Linked DNA regions of Notamacropus eugenii. The protein of the gene in region 1 interacts with the protein of each later gene in a pairwise test. Links are inferred from orthologs where the notes say so. Each region holds a gene or a part of one and is shown on either strand. Other genes may lie near its edges. The genes, in order: ARL3, PDE6D and ARL2BP.

The links.
Region 2: the proteins of ARL3 (region 1) and PDE6D interact in binary tests that used the Homo sapiens proteins (3 or more experiments, as listed by UniProt). The link is inferred for Notamacropus eugenii from reciprocal best matches to the Homo sapiens genes ARL3 and PDE6D.
Region 3: the proteins of ARL3 (region 1) and ARL2BP interact in binary tests that used the Homo sapiens proteins (3 or more experiments, as listed by UniProt). The link is inferred for Notamacropus eugenii from reciprocal best matches to the Homo sapiens genes ARL3 and ARL2BP.

Annotation. Positions count from the first base shown.
Region 1 is NC_092872.1:180,917,631-180,925,618, reverse strand, and holds the start of ARL3 (ADP-ribosylation factor-like protein 3), read left to right. Parts: upstream 1-4,961; 5' UTR 4,962-5,310; coding exon 5,311-5,313; intron 5,314-7,988. UniProt on the Homo sapiens protein: Small GTP-binding protein which cycles between an inactive GDP-bound and an active GTP-bound form, and the rate of cycling is regulated by guanine nucleotide exchange factors (GEF) and GTPase-activating proteins (GAP).
Region 2 is NC_092873.1:58,279,107-58,286,128, forward strand, and holds the start of PDE6D (retinal rod rhodopsin-sensitive cGMP 3',5'-cyclic phosphodiesterase subunit delta), read left to right. Parts: upstream 1-3,968; 5' UTR 3,969-4,214; coding exon 4,215-4,264; intron 4,265-7,022. UniProt on the Homo sapiens protein: Promotes the release of prenylated target proteins from cellular membranes. Modulates the activity of prenylated or palmitoylated Ras family members by regulating their subcellular location.
Region 3 is NC_092872.1:474,876,131-474,883,395, forward strand, and holds the start of ARL2BP (ADP-ribosylation factor-like protein 2-binding protein), read left to right. Parts: upstream 1-4,227; 5' UTR 4,228-4,366; coding exon 4,367-4,407; intron 4,408-5,874; exon of another isoform or gene 5,875-6,122; coding exon of another isoform or gene 6,123-6,127; intron 6,128-6,362; coding exon 6,363-6,424; intron 6,425-7,265. UniProt on the Homo sapiens protein: Together with ARL2, plays a role in the nuclear translocation, retention and transcriptional activity of STAT3. May play a role as an effector of ARL2.

The DNA.
Region 1 (7,988 bases):
CTCTTGTTTAAGAAGGAGAAAGAGAACCTTGGAGCTGATTGGACAAAATGGAATCCTACTTAAGTGGAAAGCTAGCTGGGATTGTCTGCATTTGCACATGAGAATCAAGATGAGTTTTGCTGTGCTTTGCTGTAAGAAAAAACAAAGTGGTGATTAGACAAAGCAGACTTCTGTTGAATGAAGAGCTAACTGGGCTTGTTTGTCTACAGATCCCAAAGAGATAACCTGAAGAGCTTTGCAGCTGTCTGGTTGAAAGTAATGGCATGTCACTAGAGAAAGTGTTATACTTTCTCAGACCCCTGTTAAAAATGACTGTGAGTTAAAAGAAGTTGTACAACAGTGCCTCATCAGCTTGAGGGCAAAAGAGAAGATGATATGCCCAACAGGAGAATGGTGAGGACCAAAACCAAAACAGCAGAGAAGTAGCTTCTTGCGGTACAGGTGATTCCTAATGGGGACCAAGGACATCAGAGCCTGAAAGCAAGAATTATAAGTTGTCCCCCCCAAGCACATGGATTTTCCCATTCATGTGTCTCCCTCCTATTCCTATAGACCCTCCTATTCCATGACAGAAAAGGCTTCACTGAATGTTTTCTCATTTTATGCACAAGTAAAACCAACCCACCAGATGGACTGTGTGACACTCAATGGTTTGGTCACTGGGAGCTAGCCTTGGTGGGGTGGAGGACCCACAGGCAGGCAGTTCCAGCAGGATGCTTAAGACAGGATAGGAGGCCTCAGTGTGCTGGGGCTGGGGGTAGCGGTTAAGCAGTCACTGACAGGCTTGCAGTTCATTTTAAACTCTACAAAGGACAAGGGGCATAGCTATAGGCTCTGTACTTCCTTGAGGAAGTTCTGACACTGCTTACGCTGGGTTTGAAGAGCTTGCTGGAGATGAGACTGGCTCTCCTAGTACAACTCTGACTGTAGGAGAGATAGGGGAGACACTGCCTACAGTTAGCAGCCTGTTCTGATGGAAGGTAAATTATATTAAAAATGGGACTTTTCTACTTGTCTGCTATATTTAACTATTGGAAGGAAAGCAGTGCTGTTGACTCATTCATAAATAAATTAATTCATTTGTGGTTTAAAAAAAAGGGAGGGGTTTCTATGTATCTACTCTTCACCACCAACATGGAGGTGCATTACTCGAAGACTGTGACCCAGGTTTATTGGTGGACTATAATGCTGTGATTATCCTTGCATTTACCTCATACTGAATAACATGGATTTTATAATTATTCTTGCTTTTGCTTCATCATTAAATATGTTTTATATTCAAGAATCAGTAATGTAATACAGACTGATTCCCTATAAACAGGAAGCACAACAATGGGGGCTCAGGAACTACTGTGGTTAGTAGAAGGGCTACAGCAGCTCACAAAAGGTGATTCCTAGGACCTGGAGGGAGTTTTTGAGTCAGCTGTGGCACCTCACTCTCTGAGAATCTCAGACCTGTCTGCGTGAGGATTGGTTGGAATGAACAAGCCAGTCTAGGGAATTATAATGGGGCATTGCCAGGGCCAGGTTCTACATTTATGTACATAACGTAGACCCCTATTAGAACGTAAGCTCCTTGAAATCAGTTATTGTTTTATTCTTTGTAATTATATTCCTATTACATACCAAAATGCCAGGCCCATAAAAGGCACTTAATAATGTTTGTTGATTGACTGAGGGTGAAATCCTGATCCCAAGCAAGATCTCAGTTGGAGTGGTGGTCAGGAAAGACAGTTTGAGCCTTGCTGCTAACCCAAGGGAACGATATTTACACAGATGGTACTCAGTTATCTAGCTTGGATAAGGAAAAAATGAGACAAATGACTTACTAATTAACTCTTCCCACCTCACAGACCCAAAAGAATCATTCTTCCTCCCCTTAGAAATATACAATATTAGAACTGGAAGGAACCTTGGAGTTCAATGCCCTCATTTTACAGAGGTAGAAAGTGAAATCCACAGAAGGAACTGACTTGTCCAAGGTCAGACAGCCAAGTGATCTAGAACCCAGATCTCCAGGTCCCTAGTTCAGTGTTCTTTTCCACTATACTTCAATGCCATCTTCTTTAATGCAACATTTCTCCTTGAAAGAAAGTGCTGCTGTACGACTGCAAACAGTCCTGAGAGGTAGTAGCATTTCGCTATCAAGTTTTTGGAGATCCTTCTGTTGGACAGAAAAAATACAGATAATTTTCTCCTTTCCTAAGAACTTTACCCTCACAGCCTTACTCTCTAGGCAAGCAAGAAAGGAAGGCATATAATCCTTGGGTAGGAAGGAGGTACAAAGGGCTCTAATGGCTCACCATCAATCCCTTGCTGGGGGTCAATGACTAACTACTAGTCTGCACTTCTTTTTGAACAAAAAACATCTGGATGTTAGGGTTTGCCCAAACAACCTCAAAAATGGGAAATATGAAGCTATTAATTCATCCTCATGCTTACACCCACCAACTCTGGTAAACAAAATGTTAACATTTAGGGTGTTTTGAAACAGAAATTTCCATTATCTCTTTGGCACAAGAGTCAGTAGTCTGGAGACCACTAGGCAGCAGTTGAGGATTGTCTGGAATTTTGGCTGATAAACCACTTCAGCATATACTACAGGAGGATATGTCTTGTCTGCCAATTGAAGAGTCCTGTAAGGTAGAAACCAATGTTTGAAACCATTATGCACAGATAATAACACCTCTGCTGCTGTCAACCATCTGGCCAACCTCTACCAATAAGCCTCCTGATCCTACTTGACCCTAGATATCTAGTTTAACTGAGGAAGATGCTACTCTTTCCAAACATGAGCTCACAAAGGATAAATAGGTGCTAAGTGTTTTGTTTTCTGCAGTAACAGAAAGGGGGGAAGAGAGGCCATCCTTCTTTAGCCTGAGCAGAAAACTGCCCTAGAGGAGAGAGGATACAGCCTGGATGCCATGAAAACTACCCTGACCCTGGCTATGCTGCAACTGCAAGTAGGCCCCCAGGTTGAGCTGGGGGAGTGCATGTTGGAGAGAGCCTGAAACATGACTAGAAGCTGGGCCTGCCTTCCTGCCAGTTTGACTTGAGCTTCTCCTGATGCTTTAAGCCTGGTCTGAACCCTGAAATTAAGTGCCGACAATAAAATTTTCTTGCAATAATAAAAACCATTATGCACCATAAAGCACAGAAGTCTAGTTCTATAAATACACCCAAAATAAACGATTAATTAGTTATCCTGTGGGCAAAGTCCACTGACTCCAGCCAAATCTAAAAGCCTACTGCTATCAAAATCTGGCTCCTGCCTGCCGCCAAAATGAGAGCTAGGAGGGTGACCACTTTTGCCATTTTTTGTAGAAAAGAGGTATAGGTATGGAATACTACATATATTAGGTTTTTACAATACGTTGGGTAGTTTTGCTGAACTTTTTTTTAAAGCATTTTTATTATAAGGGATGATTTTCTAAACAGGGGAAAAGAATACACCAGAAAGCTAGTGATGTAAAAAGAAAATATATCACTAATTTTTTTTAAAGAGGGTGACCCAGAAGAAAATCCTACAAACTCTAAAGACACATAACTTCCTAAAATCTCCAAGCCCAAGCCATCTCTGCTCCTCCAAAGAGACAGCTGTGTGGTTACAGAAAAAAGATACTAATTTGGTGTCAGAAAACATGGGTTCAAATCCGAGCTTGTCCATTACTAGATCTGCTACATGGAACCTGCATCTCAGTCCCTGTTGCTCAGTTTCCTCATCTGAAAATGATACTTGTACTATCTAACTCAACAGGTAATATAAGCATCAAATAAAGTAATTTAAGCTCTTTATGAAGGAGACAGCTAGGGGCTCAGTGGATAGGTCTGGGCCTGGAGTCAGGAAGACCTGAGTTGAAATCCAGCCATAGACACTTACCAGCTATGTGATCCTAGGCAAGTCAACCTCTGTTTACCTTAATCCTATGGAGAAGAAAGTGGCAAATACTCCAGTATCTCTGCAAGAAAACCCCATGGACAGGTACGGCCAGTAGGGTCAGGAAGAATCTGACAACTCTGAACAACAGCCACAAAGCTCTTTGTGAACGTTAAGGTGCTATGCAGATGTCATCAGTTACATTAAAGCTTCAGACTACTTAGAAGGAGTATTTCTGAAGTGGCCACATTTTCACTACACGTCCAGGCCCCCTTTCCAAAGAGACAAGAAACAAGATCACGTTGTTCTGGCCCTCCAAGCTGCCCTGGAAGACCCCCACTTTATTCCTGGGATGAGTATTCTAAGGAGGCATCCTGGTCATCATTAGCAGAAGTGTGGCAGCATCTACTGGCTTCCAGGGTAGGTGCTTGGGGACTTGTGGGGACTCCAGAGCATCGTGGCTCCCAGGATCCACGCTCAGGGCACAGTTGCCAGACTTGCCCCCACTGAGACCTCCAAGACACCGCCTCCTGCGACCCAACCTCTAGGGAGATTCAGTTGAGTACAGGCCTCTGAGATGTGGGGGTGGGGCAGTGCATGCGCGGAGGAGGGGCCTCCTCCACCAGTGCCAAAGTGTTCGCACTGGGGGGGAACGGCTGCCTCTTTCTTTTCCTAGGGGCTGCTTGGAAGAGCAGTGCCAGTCTTCCCAACGTGGGGCCCCCCCTTTTCTTTTTTGCCACGTTGACCCTGTGGCAGCCGCAGCACATGGGAACTGAGCCGTTGGCACCACGCTGGGAGTCTGCGCGCCCTGAACCTATCTCCCCTCCTAAAAGCCAGGGGCCCTGGAGCCCGCGGGAAGAGTCAGGCTAGTCCGTGCCGCCCGTCCACCCTCGCCCCTAGGCCGCTCCCCAAAAGCCAAACCTGAAGCCAGGCCAGACGTCGACACAGACAGCGGAAAGCAAAGCGCGCTCACACAGACTGCCGCCCCTCCCAGGAGCGTTCCGCCCCTTCGGCTCCGCCCCCCGCGCCTCCGCTTCCGGACCAATCACAGGAGGGGGCCGTCCCTGGCTGGCCACGTGGGCAACTTTCCATCACCTACTTCCCCCCGCCCTCTCGGGCTTAAAGCAGAAAAAGGAGTACGCCTGCGCAGGAAAGGGCTTGGCCGGACGCTCGGGCTGGATTGCGTCTCTGTGCGCCTGCGCTCTCTTGGGAAGGGACTCGCGGGACCCCTTTCTCCTTCTCTCTCCTCGGTGTCTCCGCCCCAGCCCACTGTGCGTGTAGTGGCGGCGGGACGTCGGGGCGGTGCCCGCGCCGGGGACGGGCGGTGCCGCCGCAGTTGCCCCTGGTAACGGGGGAGGCAGCAGGAGGAGGAGGAGGAGGAGGAGGAGGAGGAGGAGGAGGAGGCGGAGGCAGAGGAGGGAGTCGGCGGGAGGATGGTGAGTGTGGGTGTCTGGGCCGCCCTCGAGCCCCCCCAACCCAGGTCCGCTCTCGGACCCTAGGGCTCAGGCAGGACTCGGGCGGGACGCCCTCAGACCCTTCCCGTCGTGCTGGGAGCGCCCGGGAGCGGCAAGGAGAGCCTGAAACGGGCCGGGTGGGAGGCCTGGGGCCTGAGGGAGGGCAAGGCTTGAAGATGGGGGCCCGGAAAGGGGCTCCGGGCGCGCTCCCCCAGCCGCCCGCGGCCGAGCTCCGCAGGGGTGAGGGCTGTGAAGAGCGATTCTCAGCCGCCCTCCCCTCCTCCTCCCCGGGACCCCGGGGGTTCTGCATGCCTCCATCCGGGAGTGGCGGGAACGCTCCCCCCGCCGGGCTCCGTGTCCACAGGTGCGGGCCCCGGGAAGTGGGGATGGCCCGCTGCGCTTGAGAGGCTTCCTCTGGGGAGAAGCTCTCCCGCTTTGTGATCTGGGGACCTGCCCATCCCAGCCTCCGGGATAACCAGGCCAGAGCCCCAGCTCTGCCTGGGGCCATCACGAATCTGCCCCAGCTGGTCTTAGCCCCATCGAGACTGCCCCCACACACACACACACACGCCTTATTTTTTGAGTTGATCCAACTTAATAGAAGAGCCTAGCCTTGGGGAGAATACCCCGGGCTTCCTTGGGCAAAGGAAAAGGGTAGGTGGACTGGTTATCAGCCTGTGGCACAGGTTCTCACTTATCAGCCCAAACGAGAACTTTTCCCGTATTTTGGACCTCGGATAGTTTGGCCTTTTCTGTTTGGACCCTCGGAATACTTCGTTTGGAGGTGCTTGAGATGTCATTTCGATCTTGTTCCTATCCCAAAAAGTATTCTTAGGCTTCCTGAGGATGCTGGTCAGTTAGTCACTTGAAAGGAAAAATAGTTAGGCTTTGTAGCCTTGAGTGATGCTGAAACTGGAGTTTGAGTTGCTCTCCACTGCTCATTTTTTTTAACCTTTAAAACTATTGGAACATTTCAGTGGTTGAAGGGCTTACAAAAAGCTGGAGCAAAATGAGAAAACTTATCCAGTGTTGGATAAGAGATCAATGACTATAGGAGGAAAAACCAATTGATTGCACATGATCATGATTGCTAAGTATAATAAGTAGAATTATTTTAGCTAATGCTGCCAACCAGATTTTGCACATTCTATGTAACAGTTTTGTTAACCTCAGGCTAAACAGATTTGTGTAAATATTTTTGGTGTTATCTTTTTATTAATCATTTGTTTATGAGCTATTCATTAGAAAGATTTGTCATTAAAGAACACAAATATTTACCCAAAAGTAACTAGAACTGAAGCTAAATAGGCATGTCAGACCAACAGAAGATGAAGATTGTCATCACAGATGATAAATGTATCATCATTGGCTAATATTTACCAGTTTATCCATCAAATGAACGAAATAATTTGGTTTTTTTTTTAAATTGAAGAATATAAATGACAGTAACCACTGGATCTACTTCCAGGTGTAAATTGACTTTCAAGGGTTTTGCTGAATTTTTTCTCATATGTCTGTATACATATATGTATGTATGAAATAATTAGCACAGACATTCCATAGTATATGTGTGGTTTAATTTTTTTGCTTATCTGTGAGAGGGTCTGTTATTGTTACAATAGAATTAAGATCCTTAAGATAGGGCCTGCTTTTTTTTTTGTCGTTGTATCTCAGGGATCTACCGTATTGGATGTCTGGTAAAGACTTAATTGAGCGAAATGGAAAATAAAATGTCAATTTTTTAAACATTTGTAATGTAACTTAATGTGTCAGTTTTCAGAATTCTGTGTTTGGGTTTTTTAGTCACTCGATGTTTTCTGAGATCATTATCTATATCAACTATAAGCTGTTCTTTTACATGTACTCCTATAATTTTACTAGTGTTGAATTTTTTTCTAATGTGGTAGACATATATAGTCTATAGATATAGACTATATGATACATATAGTATTTGCAGTGCTACTATTATAAAAGCAAATCTAATTTCACTTTAAGGCCAGTAAAAGTGGCAAAGCAAACTATAGATACAAGTTACCAACTTCTTGAAATAAAAAGTCCAGCAAACTCTAAAACCTTCAGCTAAGACTCATTATTGATACTTGTTTATTTTAAAAATTGGGCTACTGTAACAAAAAGCCTACTCATTCACTGATAGTTTATTCAAACATTTTAAGCTGTTTATAGTACACATGTATGAAATGACAAGATCACAAGTCATTTTAATCCTAACTTCACATTTTTAACCAGAATTCTTTTGTTCAATCACTTAGTAATTCAAAGCTCTGTAGAAAGTATTGTATTACTGTATTGGTTTTTGATATGTCAGTAGTTTTCAAATGTATTTTGCATTTGAGGATTATTCTAAACCAGAAATGTTTAAAATATAATTTGGAAATATTTAACAAAATAAATAAAAGTACATTAAAACATAGATTATATTTTGAAACCAAGCCAATATGCTTTGGTATCGATGTATAGATTAGTAGTCCCCATTTCCATTTGTGTTTGATGCCACTGTTTTATACTCTTTTTCTATAAAAAAAATTCACTGGATAAAGTACTACAGATCCATTCTTTATGAGGAAAAGTCCATTCCATTGACACTGGCAGAAAGGAACACTGACATCTTTGTCTCCAAGAAAAGCTTAAGACTTTCA
Region 2 (7,022 bases), on another chromosome or scaffold:
GGAATCCACAGCGGTGAGGACACGTGGAGGGGGCCTCTCTCAGTCTCAGACTGCTGGGGAGATGGGCAGGGGTGCGGAGAGGGGTGGGGTGACTGAGGAGGGCAAGAAATGGAGGTGGAGTTGTTAGTGAAAAGGCAGTTTTGGGGTACCCAGGGTACAAGAAAGGCGCTTTCTTCCTCAAAACGTTACATGTTGGATAAGGGGCGAGGGAAGCCCGGCCAAGGGGTGTTTCTGGGGGTGATCTGCCGCAGGAGAGCTAAGGCAGGAACCTCGAATATCCCCGAAGCGGGGTGCTGGGGGCTCTCCTCTGAGCCTCAGAAGGAGCACGCTAAGTGAGGGGCTCCGGCGGGGGTCCCAGACTCTCTGGGGAATCTGGAAGTGCCTCTCCCCACCAGGAGAGATGAGGGCGGCCGTGGAGGGGACCGGGGGCCGGGGGCCGAGGTCGGGAGAGGGGGGCTGGTGCTGCCATTGTGGTCCCCAGGGGGCAAAGGGGAGGCGGAGGAGCCCCTCCTGCCCCCCGGGACCCCGAGAGTGTCCGGGGCTGGATCTGAACTCGGGTCCTCCTGACTCCAGGCCAATAAACTCGGGGGCTACAAGCCTAAGGCAGCTTCGGGGGCGCAGGCCCAGGAGAAGGAGCGGGAGGGGGAGGCCTGAGGCCTGGAGGTGGAGGCAGCTCAGAGGGGGGGCACAAGGGGCCTTAGGAAGGAAGAGAAGCGAGGGGGGCTGGGGGAGGGGAGGCCTCGGTGGGGGCGGGGCTCGCCCCTCCCCTCGCTCACCGGAGGCGGCGGGTGAGGGGGGCGGGGCGGACCACCCCCCCCCAGGAATGCCCTCCCCGCCCCCTCCAGCCCGGGGTCCCCCCAGCTCCCCCGGGGCCACCCCTGCTCCTTGTACCTGCCTCCGCCGCCAAGGCTCCGTCCGTCCGCTCCCGGCGCCTCCCCGCGGGTCGTCAGGCGGCCATCATCGCTCCGGGGTCCGCCGCTCAAGTGCCTCCGCCGGGCCGGCCCTCTCCGAGGCCCCCTCGGAAACTCACCGCCTCTGCGCCCAGGTTCCGGCTGCAGCACGTGGGTTCCGGCGCGCGCGCACGCGCAGTCTCTCCGTGCCCGGTTTTGCCCAATGCGCAGACTCCGCGGGTCAAGGCCTTCTCGCTTTGCGCATGCTCGGCTCCCGCCCCGGCCGGACAAAAGCCTTCCCCGCGCGGCGGCCCCGGGATAGGTGCTTTTCGCCTCCCCGCCCCCAGCCCTGTCCACGTGCCCCCTCCGCCCCTCCCCCCAGGCTCCGCTTGAAGATCTGCCGGGAGAGCGCCCCGCGCTTTAGCCCAAGTCAGCTTGGACCGCTGCGGGCCATCCGAGGTGTATTTATGTGTCCGGAGCGGTCCTGAGACAGGACACGCACACACACGCACACGCAGCCAGCGACCTTTATTTTTTATTGAAATTCCCCCTCGGGACAGTGAGAAACTGTCAGCTGGACTAACCAGATGAAGACACCTTTCTGTGCAATGGTCAGCCTCGGCAACGACCCCCACCCCACTAAACACAGTGTACTGTTGTCTGGTGAGACCCTCTCTCAAAGGGGTCAGTCCAGGAAAGGTGTAAATTAGGGATGAACTGAGTTCAAATCCAGCCTCAGACACTTCCTAGCTGGATGGCTCTGAGTGGGTCACTTCCCCCTGCTTGCCTCAGTTTCCTCATCTGTGAAGGACATGGCAAAGCACTCCAGTATCTTTGCCAAGGAAACTCCAAATGGGGTCACAGAGTCAGACAAGACAGAATAACAACACTATGGGCTTCTTTGTCCTCTTTAATTGAGGGCTTTGGGAGGAAATAGGTGCTCAGTCCCTTAATCAGAGAGGCAGAGACTAGGATGAGGCATGAAGAGCAAAGCTTGAGGATGAATTTTCTGGAGTCACAGAAGCAAGTGAGGCTTTGCATGACTATGTCTATCGTCTATTGTTACTGTGGTCACAGCTATTTGCTGTGGATGTCATTCTTAGGTGAGTCCCTGGGATGCTCCTTTGATATCCTTTCTTCTGTGGTCCAGTGGCTGTGAGCTCCAGAAGAGAAGGGATAGACCATCTTTTGCCCTTCTTTGTAGCCCCAGTATTTAGCACAGTGCCTGGCATACAGAGAACACTTAATAAATGCTTGTGTACTTGTTATAGGTTGATATGTATTTGCTGTTATGGTATATAACTACAGGTGCTGGGCTTTTTGCAGCTGATTTTGCGAGGGACTACAAAATGTTGGACTGTCTACTTTACGGAGAACACGAATCACCAGCTCTGGTGATTGAGTGCTTTGCTTCCCTGGCTTCTTTCAAGTCTCAACTAAAACTCCATCTTCTTCAGGAAGCCTTTCCTAACCCTCTTAATTCTAGAGCCTTCCCTCTGTTAATTATTTACTATTCATCCTGTATGTAGCTTGTGTACACCTATTTGTTTGCATGTTATCTCTTCCACTGGATTGTAAATTCCTTGAAGGCAGGGAGTATCTTTTGCCTTTTTTTTTGTATCCTCCAACTCTTAGCCTAGCACATAGTAGGAGCTTAATAAATGTTTATTGATTGATATATTGTGGGGAACATGGAGATGACAGTCCTTATTCCTGTCTTCTACCTTACTTCAGCTTGTTATGACTGGCACCCATTTCTGGTTGTGTTTTTGGTTTTTTTTGTGGCTGTTGTTTTTAATTCTGTATCTGCATCTGACTGATCAAGTTTTCTTCCTCCCAATAAACACCTGCGGATGACCCTTTCCTGTGCATTTCCTCATGGCTCTTTGTCCATCCCATGAGGGCACAGGCTCCCTGGGAGCAAAGGGACTTTTTTTCACTAAGCTGGAAAACCAGTCCCCCAGGCCATTGTTAGACAGCTTTTTCTTTCCAATTCAGGGCATGATCACAAACATTCAGACTTTTCTAACTACATATCCAAGGACAGTGTCACTATCATTCTGGAGGTTTCATTCTATCAGACCTTAAGCCTAAGCTGTTCTAAGTATACACTTGGAGTTATGTATGTCATAAATTTGAGGATTTGGAAAGGACAACACCAGCAATTGGGATAATAGTCAAGCACTTAATGCAGTAATCTGAGGTTTGCAAAGCACTTTACCTACATGTGTTATTTCAGTTTAATCTTCATAATAACCCAGGGAGGTAAGTGCTATTATGATCCTCATTTTACACATGGGGAAACTGAGACAAAGGTCAAGTGACTGGCCCAGGATCGCACAGCTGGTAGGTGTCTGAGGCTGAATTTGAACTTGGGTCTTCCTGAATCCAGAATCAGGCAAGGGTTAATGTAGAAGATGGTGCCTGAACTTGTCCTTGAAGGAAATATGGGGGAGAGAAAGAATGTGAGAGGGAGAGAAAGAGGGAAGGAGAAAGAGAGGAGAAAAGAGATGAGAAAAGGAGTGGGAGGGAGGAGAGAAGGGGACATGGAGGGAGAGAAAGATGGAGGGAGAAAGGGGAAAGGCAGAAAAAGAATTAGAGAGGAAGAGGAGAGAGACAGAGACAGGATGGGGTCAGGGAGGAAGAACGACCCACAGGAGCCCCACGCGGTTGGATGTTTACGAACGAGTCCACGCGAGTCTACCTACGCGGTGATCCAACCGAGCGAGAGCAGCCTGCGGGACATCATGGGACTCGTAGTTTCCGGGCCTCTGAAAGCTTGTGGCATGCTGGGACTTGTAGTCCCCGCGCTCAACTCTTGGAGCAGAGCCCCAAGGTTGCCGGCGGAAGAAACTGTTTTTATTGGCTCTCACCCGGTCCCGGGGCGCCGCGGGCCGCAACGCAAGCGGAAAAGATTGACCCAAGGAGGCTCCCGTCTCGGGCCGGGTGGGGAGGATGACGACCGAGAGACGGTCTTCTGGAGGGACGCTCCTTCTTCCCCCGCCGAAGCCGCTCCTTCTCCTATTGGTAGGTTGAGCTGCCCATCCACAAAGAGGGGCCGGCCCCCGGCAGGATAGCGGTTTCCCATTGGTCATAGGGGCGGAGGGCGGGCGGCAGTGGGGGAGGGGGGCGGGGACCGCTGCCGCCTCAGTCGCCGCCGCCTCTTCAGCCGAGAATCCCGCTCCGGCCCCCCGGCCCCTGGCCCGGCCCCGGCCCCGGCTCCGGCTCCCTTTATCGTCGCCGCCGCCGCCGTCATCGTCGCCGCCGCCCGCCGCAGGTGACTAGCTCCGGGGCAGCGCCGCCCGGAGCCGCCGGCGCCTCGTCATGTCCACCGAGGACGAGCGGGCCCGGGAGATCCTGAGGGGCTTCAAGCTGTATCCGCCCGCGGGGGACGGTCGGGCCTGGGGGCGTGTGTGGGGGAGGGACCCTGGGCCTGGAGCTGAGGGGGCGGTGGCTCCTCGGTGCCTGGCAGGAAAGTCGGGGCGCCGGGAGGGGAAGGAGGAGGTGCGGGAGCAGCCCTGGGGGGCGTTAGTGCTGGGGCGCCCCGCACCTTCGCTCGTGCTTCCCACCCGGGGCTGGGCTGGGCTCGGGACCCCTGGGGTGCGTGGTGGCCAGTTGTGCGGTGCCCAGGGCGACGTTAATCTGTAAATGCTGTGTATAATCCCAGCAGAAAAAGAGCGTAATCTTTCCACGTCGACTTGGCGGCATCTTTATCTCTTGTTTTGCTCTTAAAGTTTGCTACAATCAAATCGCTAGAGATTAAAAAAAGGCTTTCTCCAGCTGTCTGCTGCAGTTAGCTGGCCGCCCGGTGTCCCCACCATGGCTGCACCTTCCTCTCCAGGGGTTCGCGAGGGCTCTCTCTGCAGCCTTTTAGCCTTGCAGAAAGCTTCTTTCCCCCTCCGTGTCACGCTGCCCGCAGTTTAGAACACCAGAAAGGCGAAAGCAGCTTTGTGGGTGAGACCGGAAATGGAAGGAGGGCAGCTGTGAACATGCCCTCAGCCTGCTGACTTCCCTCTCCCGAAAACTTTGAGCCTCGGGGAGTCAGGGCTGGAGCGGAGCTGGGCTGCCTCTTCCATCGCGTGGCCTTGCTCTTCTGGGAAGGGTGGACAGAGGCAGGCGTCTATTTGGTTCCACTCCCGTGACTGTGGATTGTTTCTTCCCATTTTCCTCCAGCATTGCTGGGTGCGGTCGTTTAACTTCAGTCTTACCTTCGCCAAGCTAGAGAGCAGCTTCGTTTTGATCTGGTTCAGATCGATCTGTTGCTGGAGATCAGAAAGCATCTAGGGCTAGTTTGAGTGAAGCAGGAAGTGGGAACCGCCTTTCCTTTTTAAGGGGGTTTGATTCTTGAGAAAACTGAAGGAGCAGCTAAATACACATGAAGGATACTGGTAAGCATTCAGAACCCGTGGCAGTCTTCTAGGTAAGAAGGGGAATTCATCGATCCAGTAGGGGTGTGTGTGTGTGCTGGGACACAAACTTGCCAGGAACAAATTTAGGGAAAGATAATATAGAAAAGAAAGGATGGGAGCCATTGATCAGATCCCCTCCAATTGTATTCTTTGGGCTAGTAATGCCTGGTATATGAGGGCTAAGGGTGAAAAACTAAGAAGTTACTTTTAGGTAAAAATAACATAGGTCTAAGTTTTGGTAACTTAAGGAGAATTGTCTCAAGACCTTTTTGTATGTATGCTTTGCTTAGATGTCTAATCTAACATCCTTTCAAGCTAAGAGTAACTGTGATGTAGAATTTCTACACAGTGGTACAACCACACCTTGGCTTCAGTGACTGTTCTCTCTCGAATCTCCTCCTACCTCTTTGATCCTTCCTTCTTAAGTTTCCTTTGCAAGATCATCCTCTTTCTCCTGCTCCTGTGTGTAAGTCCCTCTGGACTTTGACCTGAGTCCTTTTCTCTTTTCTCCCTCTTGTGATGTTAGCAGCTCCTGCGGGTTCAATTATCATCTCTTTGCTGATCTAGTTCTAATCTCTTTCCTGAACTTTAAGCCCTGCATTGCCAAGTCCTTGTTAGAATGTCCAAACTGGAAGTGATTCTCAAACCCAAACTGATCCTCAAACTTTCCTAATTCTGTGGAGTGTACCAGTACCCTTCTAGTCACCCAGGTTTACAGTCTTGTAGTCATTCTTTAAAAAAAACCAAATTTTCATTGATACTTTTTGTTTTTTATATCATCAGAATTTTCCCCACTCTCCCTTTCTCTTTGCCATCTCGTATACCAGATGCTATTTTTTAATAGACACAAAGGGGGAGAAAATCAGTACAGCCAATTAATACATCGAAAAGAAGGTCTAAAAATACTTACCAGGTGTAACACCTACGTCCCTCCCACCTCCACAAAGGAATGGGTATGTCGTCATTCCAGTTATCCTTGATCTTTGTAACTTTGCTCCATTCATGTTTGATTTTGTGTATGTCAGTGTGGTTCTTTCTTTTAATATTGTTGTAATTACTGTGTGTATTGTTTTCTCAGCTCTGCTTACCTCATTCTGTATCAGTTCATGCAGCTCTTTCTCTTTCATGCAGGCTTCTCTGTATTCATCACATACATCATTTCTTACAGTACAGGAATATTCCTTTACATTCATGTACCACAATTTGTTTAGTCATTCTTCAATCAATAGGCATCTACCTTGTTTCCAAGCCTTTGCTGTCACAAAAAAATGCTGCTTTCAGTATTTTGGTGTATATGGGGATTTTCTTCCTATCAGTGAATTCCTTGGGGGTTAAGCCCAGTAATGGAGTCTTGGGGTCAAAGGGTTTAGGCAGTTGGAGTCATTCTTGATTCTTTTATCTCTCTCACCCTCTACATTCAATTAGTTGTCAAGATGTGTAGATTCTACTTTCACATCTGTCCCATCAGTTTTCCTCTGTGCAGCTCATATTTTAGAAGATCTCACCAGCTTTCACCTGTCCTGTTGACCTCCTGGTTGGTCATCCTGCTTCTGATGTCCCCTCTAAAGTTCATCCTCCACAGAGCTGCCAAATTGATATTCTGAAACCATAGACCAAACCTGGCCATTCTTTTACCCAGAAATCTTTGTTCATTTCCTCTTGCCTCTAGGACAAAATTCAGAACCCTTAGCCTGGCATTAAAGCACCCCACAATATGAATCTC
Region 3 (7,265 bases), about 290 Mb from region 1:
GCATAATGTCAGCATATATCTCCCTTTTTCTATAGATCAAAAGATCCATAATTGAAAGGAACCGTCAATCCCCTTATTTTATAAGAAACTGAGGCCTACTTCAACAACAAGAGATAGAAAGAGAAATTCCATTTAAAGTTACAGGAGGCATTATAAAATATTTGGGAATCTACCTACCAAAACAAACCCAGGAACTATATGAATGCAATCATAAAACATTTTTCATACAAAGTCTGATCTAAATAATTGGAAAAATATCAATTGCTCATGGGTAGGCCAAGCTAATATAATAAAAATGACAATTCTACCTAAATTAAATTACCTATTCAGTGTCATACTAATCAAACTACCAAAAAATTATTTTATAGAGCCAGACAGAAACAATAACAAAATTCATCTGAAGAACAAAAGGTCCAGAATATTAAGGGAATTACTGAAAAGAAATGCAAGGGAAGGTGGCCTAGCTGTATCAGATCTTAAATTGTATTATAAAGCAGCAATCATCAAAACTACTTGGTGCTGGCTAAGAAACAGAGTGGAGGATAAGTGGAATAGGTTAGGTACACAAGACACATTGGTCAATGACTATAATAATCTGCTATTTGATAAATCCAAAGATTCCAGTTTTGGGAATTAGAACTCAGTATTTAACAAAAATTACTGGAAAAACTGAAAAATAATATGACAAAAAATAGGTATACACCAACATCTTACACCCTATACCAAGACAAAGTCAAAATGGGTAAATAATTTAGATACAAAGACTGATATTATAAGCAAACTAGGAGAGCAAAGTATAGTTTACCTGTCAGATCTATGGAGAAGGGAAGAATTTATAACCAAACAAGAAATAGAGAACATGATAAGATACAAATTGGATGATTTTGATTACACTAAATTGAAAAGTTTTTGAGCAAAAAAAGCCAATGCAACCAATATTAGAAGGGAAACAGAAAGCTGGGAAGCAATTTTTACAACCAGTGTCTCTGATAAAAGCCTCATTTCTAAAATATATAGAGAACTGAGTCAAATTTGTAAGAATACAAGTGATTTCCCTATTGATAAATGGTCAAAGGATATGAATAAGTACTTTTCAGAGGAGGAAATTAAAGCTCTCTATAGTCATATGAAAAAATGCTCTAAATCACTATTGATTATAGAAATGCAAATCAAAACAACTCTGAGGTGTCACGTCACACCTATCAGATTAGCTAACATGACAAAACAGGAAAATGATAAATGTTAAAGAAGATGTGGGAAAATTGGAACACTAATGCTTTGTTGGTGGAGTTGTGAACTAAGTCAGTCATTCTGGAGAGCAATTTGGAACTATGCCCTAAAGGCTATAAAATTGTGTATACTCTTTGACCCAGCAATACCACTTCTAGCCCTGTGTCCCAAAGAGATCATAAAAATGAGAAAAGGGCTCACATGTACAAAAACATTTATAGCATCTCTTTTTGTGGTGGCAAAGAATTGGAAATTGAGGGGATGCCTATCAATTGAGGAATGGCTAAATAAGTTGTGGTATATGAATGTAATGGAATCCTATTGTGTTATAAGAAATGATGAGCAAGCAGACTTCAGAAAAACTTGGAAGGACTTATATGAACTGATGCTGAATGAAGTGAATAGAACCAGGAGAACATTGTACATGGTAGCAGTTAAAATGTGCAATCACTTAACCTTGATAGACTTAGCTCTTCTCAGCAATGCAAGGATCTAAGACAATTCCAAAAAACTCATCCACATCTAGAAAAAGAACTCTGGAGTCTGAATGCAGACAGAAGCATACTATTTGCTCTCCTTTTCTTTTGTTGTTTTGTTTTGTTTCTCCTTTCTCCTAATGGTTCCTCCTATTAATTCTAATTCTTTTTTACAACATGACTAATGTGAAAATATGTTTAATATGAATGTATAAGTAGAGCCTATATCAGATTGCATGCCATCTTGGGGAAGGGGAGGAGAGGAGAAAATTCAAAACTCAAAATCTTATGGAAATGAATGCTGAAAACTAAAAATAAAAAAATTAACTATACAATTAAAAAAAAAAACCAGAAGCCTAGAGAAGGAAAATCAGTCCAGCAGGCAGTCAATAAGCATTATAAGCACCTACTATATGCCAGACACCATACTAAGCACTAGAGATACAAAGAAAGGTGAAAGACAGTCCCAGCTGTCAAGGAGCTCAGTCTGAAGGGGGATACAACATGAAAATAACTATACACAAACAACATAGTATATACAAGATAAATTGAAGACCAATCAATAGAGAAAATGTTTTAGCATTAAGAGGGATCAAGGAGTAATTTGCCCAAGTTCACAAAGGCTTCTAAGTATACAAATAGGATTTGTACTTAAGTCATCTCCAAATCCAGGGATCTTTCCATTAGCAATTAACAAATATTTATTAAGCACTTAACTATATTGTGTGCCAGGTACTGCGCAAGGTGCTGAAAAGATGAGGAGAGGGGAGGGGAGGGAAGAGGAGAGGAGAGGGAGAATGATAATGAATTTGGGTCTGAAATCTCTTAGTTTGAGATGTCCAGACAAAGAGTCACTCCAGTTAAAAAAAAAAACAAAACTTAGTTGCTCCCTAGAACCTACCAATTAAAGATTCTTATCCCTTAATATCACGTTAAAGCTAATGCCACCTTATTTTTATTCATTTTTTTCTACAACTACCCTCCAGTCAAACTGGACAGTGTCTTCACAGCTCAAAGCCTTTGTTCCCCTCCCATGGAATGCATTCTTCCCCTTTTTCTGCTGAATTTCTATCCCTCACTTAAAGCTCAACTCGAGCACCATTATCTTCAGAAAGCAGAACTGCCCCTTCCCCCTGGGAGCTCACTCTTAATGTTTTTCTTCAGTCGTAGCTGACTCTTTGTGACCTATCTGGAGTTTTCTTGGCAGAGACACTGCAGTGGTTTTCCAGCTCCTTTTACAGATGAGGAAACTGAGGCAAGCAGTGTCACCTGGTATCTGACGTTAGATTTGAACTCTGGTCTTCCGAACTCCAGGGCCAGCCGCTGTAACATACATGCTTAACACTTTACAGAAATGGTTTAGCACTTATTGAATACCATACATATCCACTAACTAGCCTATTAAACCACGTGCGGGGGTGCGGAGGGGCTACCAGCCTTATCTATCATACTTTAAAATATCTTAAATGAGCTCTTTTCTCCTCTTCCCTCTCTCTTCTGCTGGCTTTAGTGGAAAAGTAAATAGCGTTGGGGGTCGGAAGACGCCAGGATTCGAATCCAAATTCAGACACTTTATTACCAATTCGATCCCGAACCCTGGGTTCTTAATTTCTCTTGTGTCCACAGACTCCTTGGCCAACCGGGAAAGTCTACGGGCCCCTTCTCGGAATAATGGTTTTAAATGTATCCAATAAAATACACGGGTTTGACACTGAATTTGATTAATTTTTTTTTTAAGTTCGCGACCCCAGCTCGAGAGCTCCCAATTTAAGCAAATGACGGTAACCTTGCCGGGGAGCGAGAAGACCGTCACCCCGGGTTCAAGTCAGTGCTCAGACACCCACTGGCTGGAGGCCCGGCCAAGTCCCTTAAGCCTGTCAGCCTGTGTCCCCATCTGAAAAACGAGCTGGAGACGGGGAAGGCCAGCCCCGCCGCTGTCCTTGCGGGAAGCCCGCACACGGGTCACCAAGAGGCGCGCCCCAAGAAAACCACTCTGCAGCAACGGTGAAAACCTCCCTCGTTTATTTCCTCCGCCTCCTCCAGCTCCACGCAGCCTCACGTAGGGCGGGCAGACGCAGACGGCGTCCGCTGTGATAGGCTGGCCGGCCCCGCCCTTTCCGTCTGGAAGGACGCCGGGACGGGATTGGAACGGCAGGCGGAAAGAGCTGTCGTCATGGTAACGGGAGCGCGGCGGGGGCGGGGAGGAGCAGGGGAAGGAGGGATTCCACGTTCAGGCGACGCCGCAGGGGGGCGGGGTGGGGGGAACCAGAACCGTAACGGATTCCATGGGGCATCGAATCCGGGGGAGAAGCTCACGGTCCCCTCCGCTTGAGTGAAGTTCGGGTTTCGACCCTCTCCACTTCCGCGGTTTGGGGAGGGGGGGGAAGCCATTTAGAGCCTCGGGGCACTCGGAGCACCCCGCAGCGGGGGGGCCCCGAGTGGACCCTACAGTGCGCAGGCGCAGGCTGGTCCCCGAGACCCGGCCCACCCGGGACGGGGAGGGAAGGGGTAGGGGTAGGGGTGGGGTGGGGGTGGGGGTGGAATCGGAGTAGGAGGAGCCCGAGGTGCCCGGAGTCTCCCTCCCGAGCCCAGGCCGCGTCTCAGATCAGGTAGAGGTGAGGGAGGAGGCCCCAGAACGACTGGGAGCTTCACGGTCAACTATGATGGACACTTTAGAAGAAGAAAACTTCGCCCTGGCCATGTGAGTGACCCCAGCGACAGCTGCGCCGCAAAGCCCAACTTTTGGGGGGGGGGGGCGAGGATGGGGGAGGGGAAGTTGCTAGACAGCCTCCCGACGCGTGCAAGATTTTCAGAGATTGTCCAAGGTTGCAAAGCACCAGCCTCCCCCCGCCCCCCACCCCCGTGCTTTTAGCTACACGAGGAGAGGGAGCGAGGTGCTGGAGTAGAAGGAGGAGTGAATGGGGCCCTGGGTTCGAGTGCTGCCTCGGGATGTTTCCTGGGTGACCAGTCACTTAAACTGCTTTCTCATCAGTAAAATGGGGGTAAGGAGGGAGGGGGCTGGGGTGGTCTCAGGGTTCTTAACCTTTTTTTAGTCTGTGAGCTTCTTGTGGGCAGGAATTGGGTTTGGTTTTTGTTTGCCTTGCCTTCCTTTTTATATCCCTGGTGCCTGGCACTTAATGACTTGACCCTCCTTTCCCGGATAGACCTCTATGAAGGCCTAGTGAAGCATCTGGTCCCCTTCTCAAAATAATGTTTTTCAGTGATTGAAGGAAGTACTCAATTTCATTTAGTGGTTAGCAAAAATAAAGTTGTAATTTTCCTTTTTTCCCCATCCAAGTTCAAGGACCCCCTTCATCTACCTACAATAGGATCACACACACATATGTATACATGTACAGATGTGTATTGCACACATATACATACATGTATACACATATATACACAGATACATACATACACACATGCACATACATATATGGATTTGAAAAGGACCTCTGAGACCATCTAATCCAGCTTCCTCATTTTACGGATGAGGAAAAGTGAGGACCAGAAACGCTAAAGGAATTGTCCAAGATCACACAGGGTGGTAAGTAAGCACTAAAGATGGGATTTGAACTTTTGGCCTCTAACTCAAGAATCAGTGCTCTTTCCATTGTACACCACTGCTTCTTGGATCAAAGGACCAAGGTCTGAATCCTGATTCTGCTACTTAATACCTGTCTGATCTCCAGCAAGTCACTTCTTTCCCCTCTGGGCCTGTTTTCTTAATCTGTAAAGTGAAAGAGTTGAACTCATGGCCCGTTTTTGTACAAGCAGGGAACTAAGAATGATTTTTATATTTTTAAATACAGTAAAATGTTTTTTTTAAATGTGGAAATCATGCTTAGCTAGCAGGCAGCAGCCATAGTTGAGAGAAGCTCAGGACTAGGTAATTTTCAGATTCCTTCCAGCTTCTGTTGCTACAGTTTGGACCTTCTTATTAAATTGTGTAAAAGAACTTTAAAAGGAAACTCTCTTAGCAGAAGGTATTCCAAAGAATAGAGTAGATTTTTATACTGTATTGAAACTCAATAGGTTTCCTCCTGCTCACTCTGTGCTTGAACCCTGAATGCCATATCTCCAGCCAACCAGAGATTTGTCAAGTACAGTAGTGTGTGTTGTCATGGAATTTTTTTATGCCACCATCACAATGAGGACCAGCCTCTCTCAAGCCAGTGATATTCAAAGCCTGTCATGAAATCTGACTGATTAGAGTTGCCTTGATAGCAACATAAGAAGAACAGGTCCCCTAAAGTAACAAAAGTCATACAGAGTTTGGGGGAATTCCAAGTCATCTCTTTGAATTATACTCCTACATAGGTGGCCAACTTCAGCTGTGGTACACAGTTTTTAATGCTCCAGATTGTGGTGACCATAAGCAGATAGTTTGTACTAGTTTTGGGGTCAGCTTCAAAGATGCGGTAAGTGGAGCAGAACAGGGATCCCTTGCTTAATTACATAGTTATGTTGCCTAAAAGTTGTGTGACTCAAATTTATATTTAAAGGAACTCTGTAGTGACTCCTTTTATTGCTTATTGTTTCAGAAAACCTTATGTAAAACAATTTGTTCTTATAAAGGTGGGATGTACCCATAAAAGGAATTAAACCAATTATTGGATAAATTGTCTGACCTATAATCCTGATATTAATTTTCAGTTCTTCCGCTTCTGATGCAGAATTTGATGCAGTAGTTGGATGTATAGAGGACATTATCATGGGTAAGTTTCATTTATAAAAGAGAAATATAGATGCCTCAACTAAAACAAATTAAACTCTGTGCACAAAAAAATAAAGACTCTTTCCAGTGTTAAAAAGAAGATAATATATCTTGACTTAGAGATTTTTGTTCTAATGTAGTGCATTGCCAGTAGAATTGGAAAAAGATTTTTAGCCCACATTTTCATTCCCTGCAGTACTCTTCTCTGCCGCATACCTGAGGATAGGTGGCATTCTCTTCTCTGCTTGTATATTTCCAATAACAGAAAACTCATTACCTCACAAGACTGGTTCTTCCAAATCTGTCTTTTTTCATCATTTTGGAAAATTGACATCACTGTAGTTTACTCAAGAGCTTTGAACTGCAAGTTTTTAGCTCAGCTTTGCTATTTTGACCAAGTTATTTATTCTGTAGGTCTTTCTCTCTTTCTGTAAAAAGGAGTCTAGATTTGATGATTTCTAAGGTACATTAAAACTTTAAGGTTCTATTTTAATTAGAGTTTTGGAATATAACCATGTTTAGCTTTTCCTTCCTTGAATCCCACAAACTCTAAGGTAACATAATTTTTGCCCAGGGTTCCCATTACTTTTGCTACAGAAATTGGTTCCCTGTTGGTCAAGATAACATCTGGAGCAACGATTCTTTTTTTGTGTCATAAGCTTCTCTGGCTTTCTGATGAACCCTGTGAATCCCTCCCCAGAGTAATATTTTAATGTATAAAAAATATGTAGGATTTCAAAGGAAACCAATTATATTGAAATTTAGTTATCAAAGTATTGAAAATTCGAAGACTTCCTGAAATCTGCTCCTGCCAGGGGGATAGATTAGCAGTGTAATTAGCC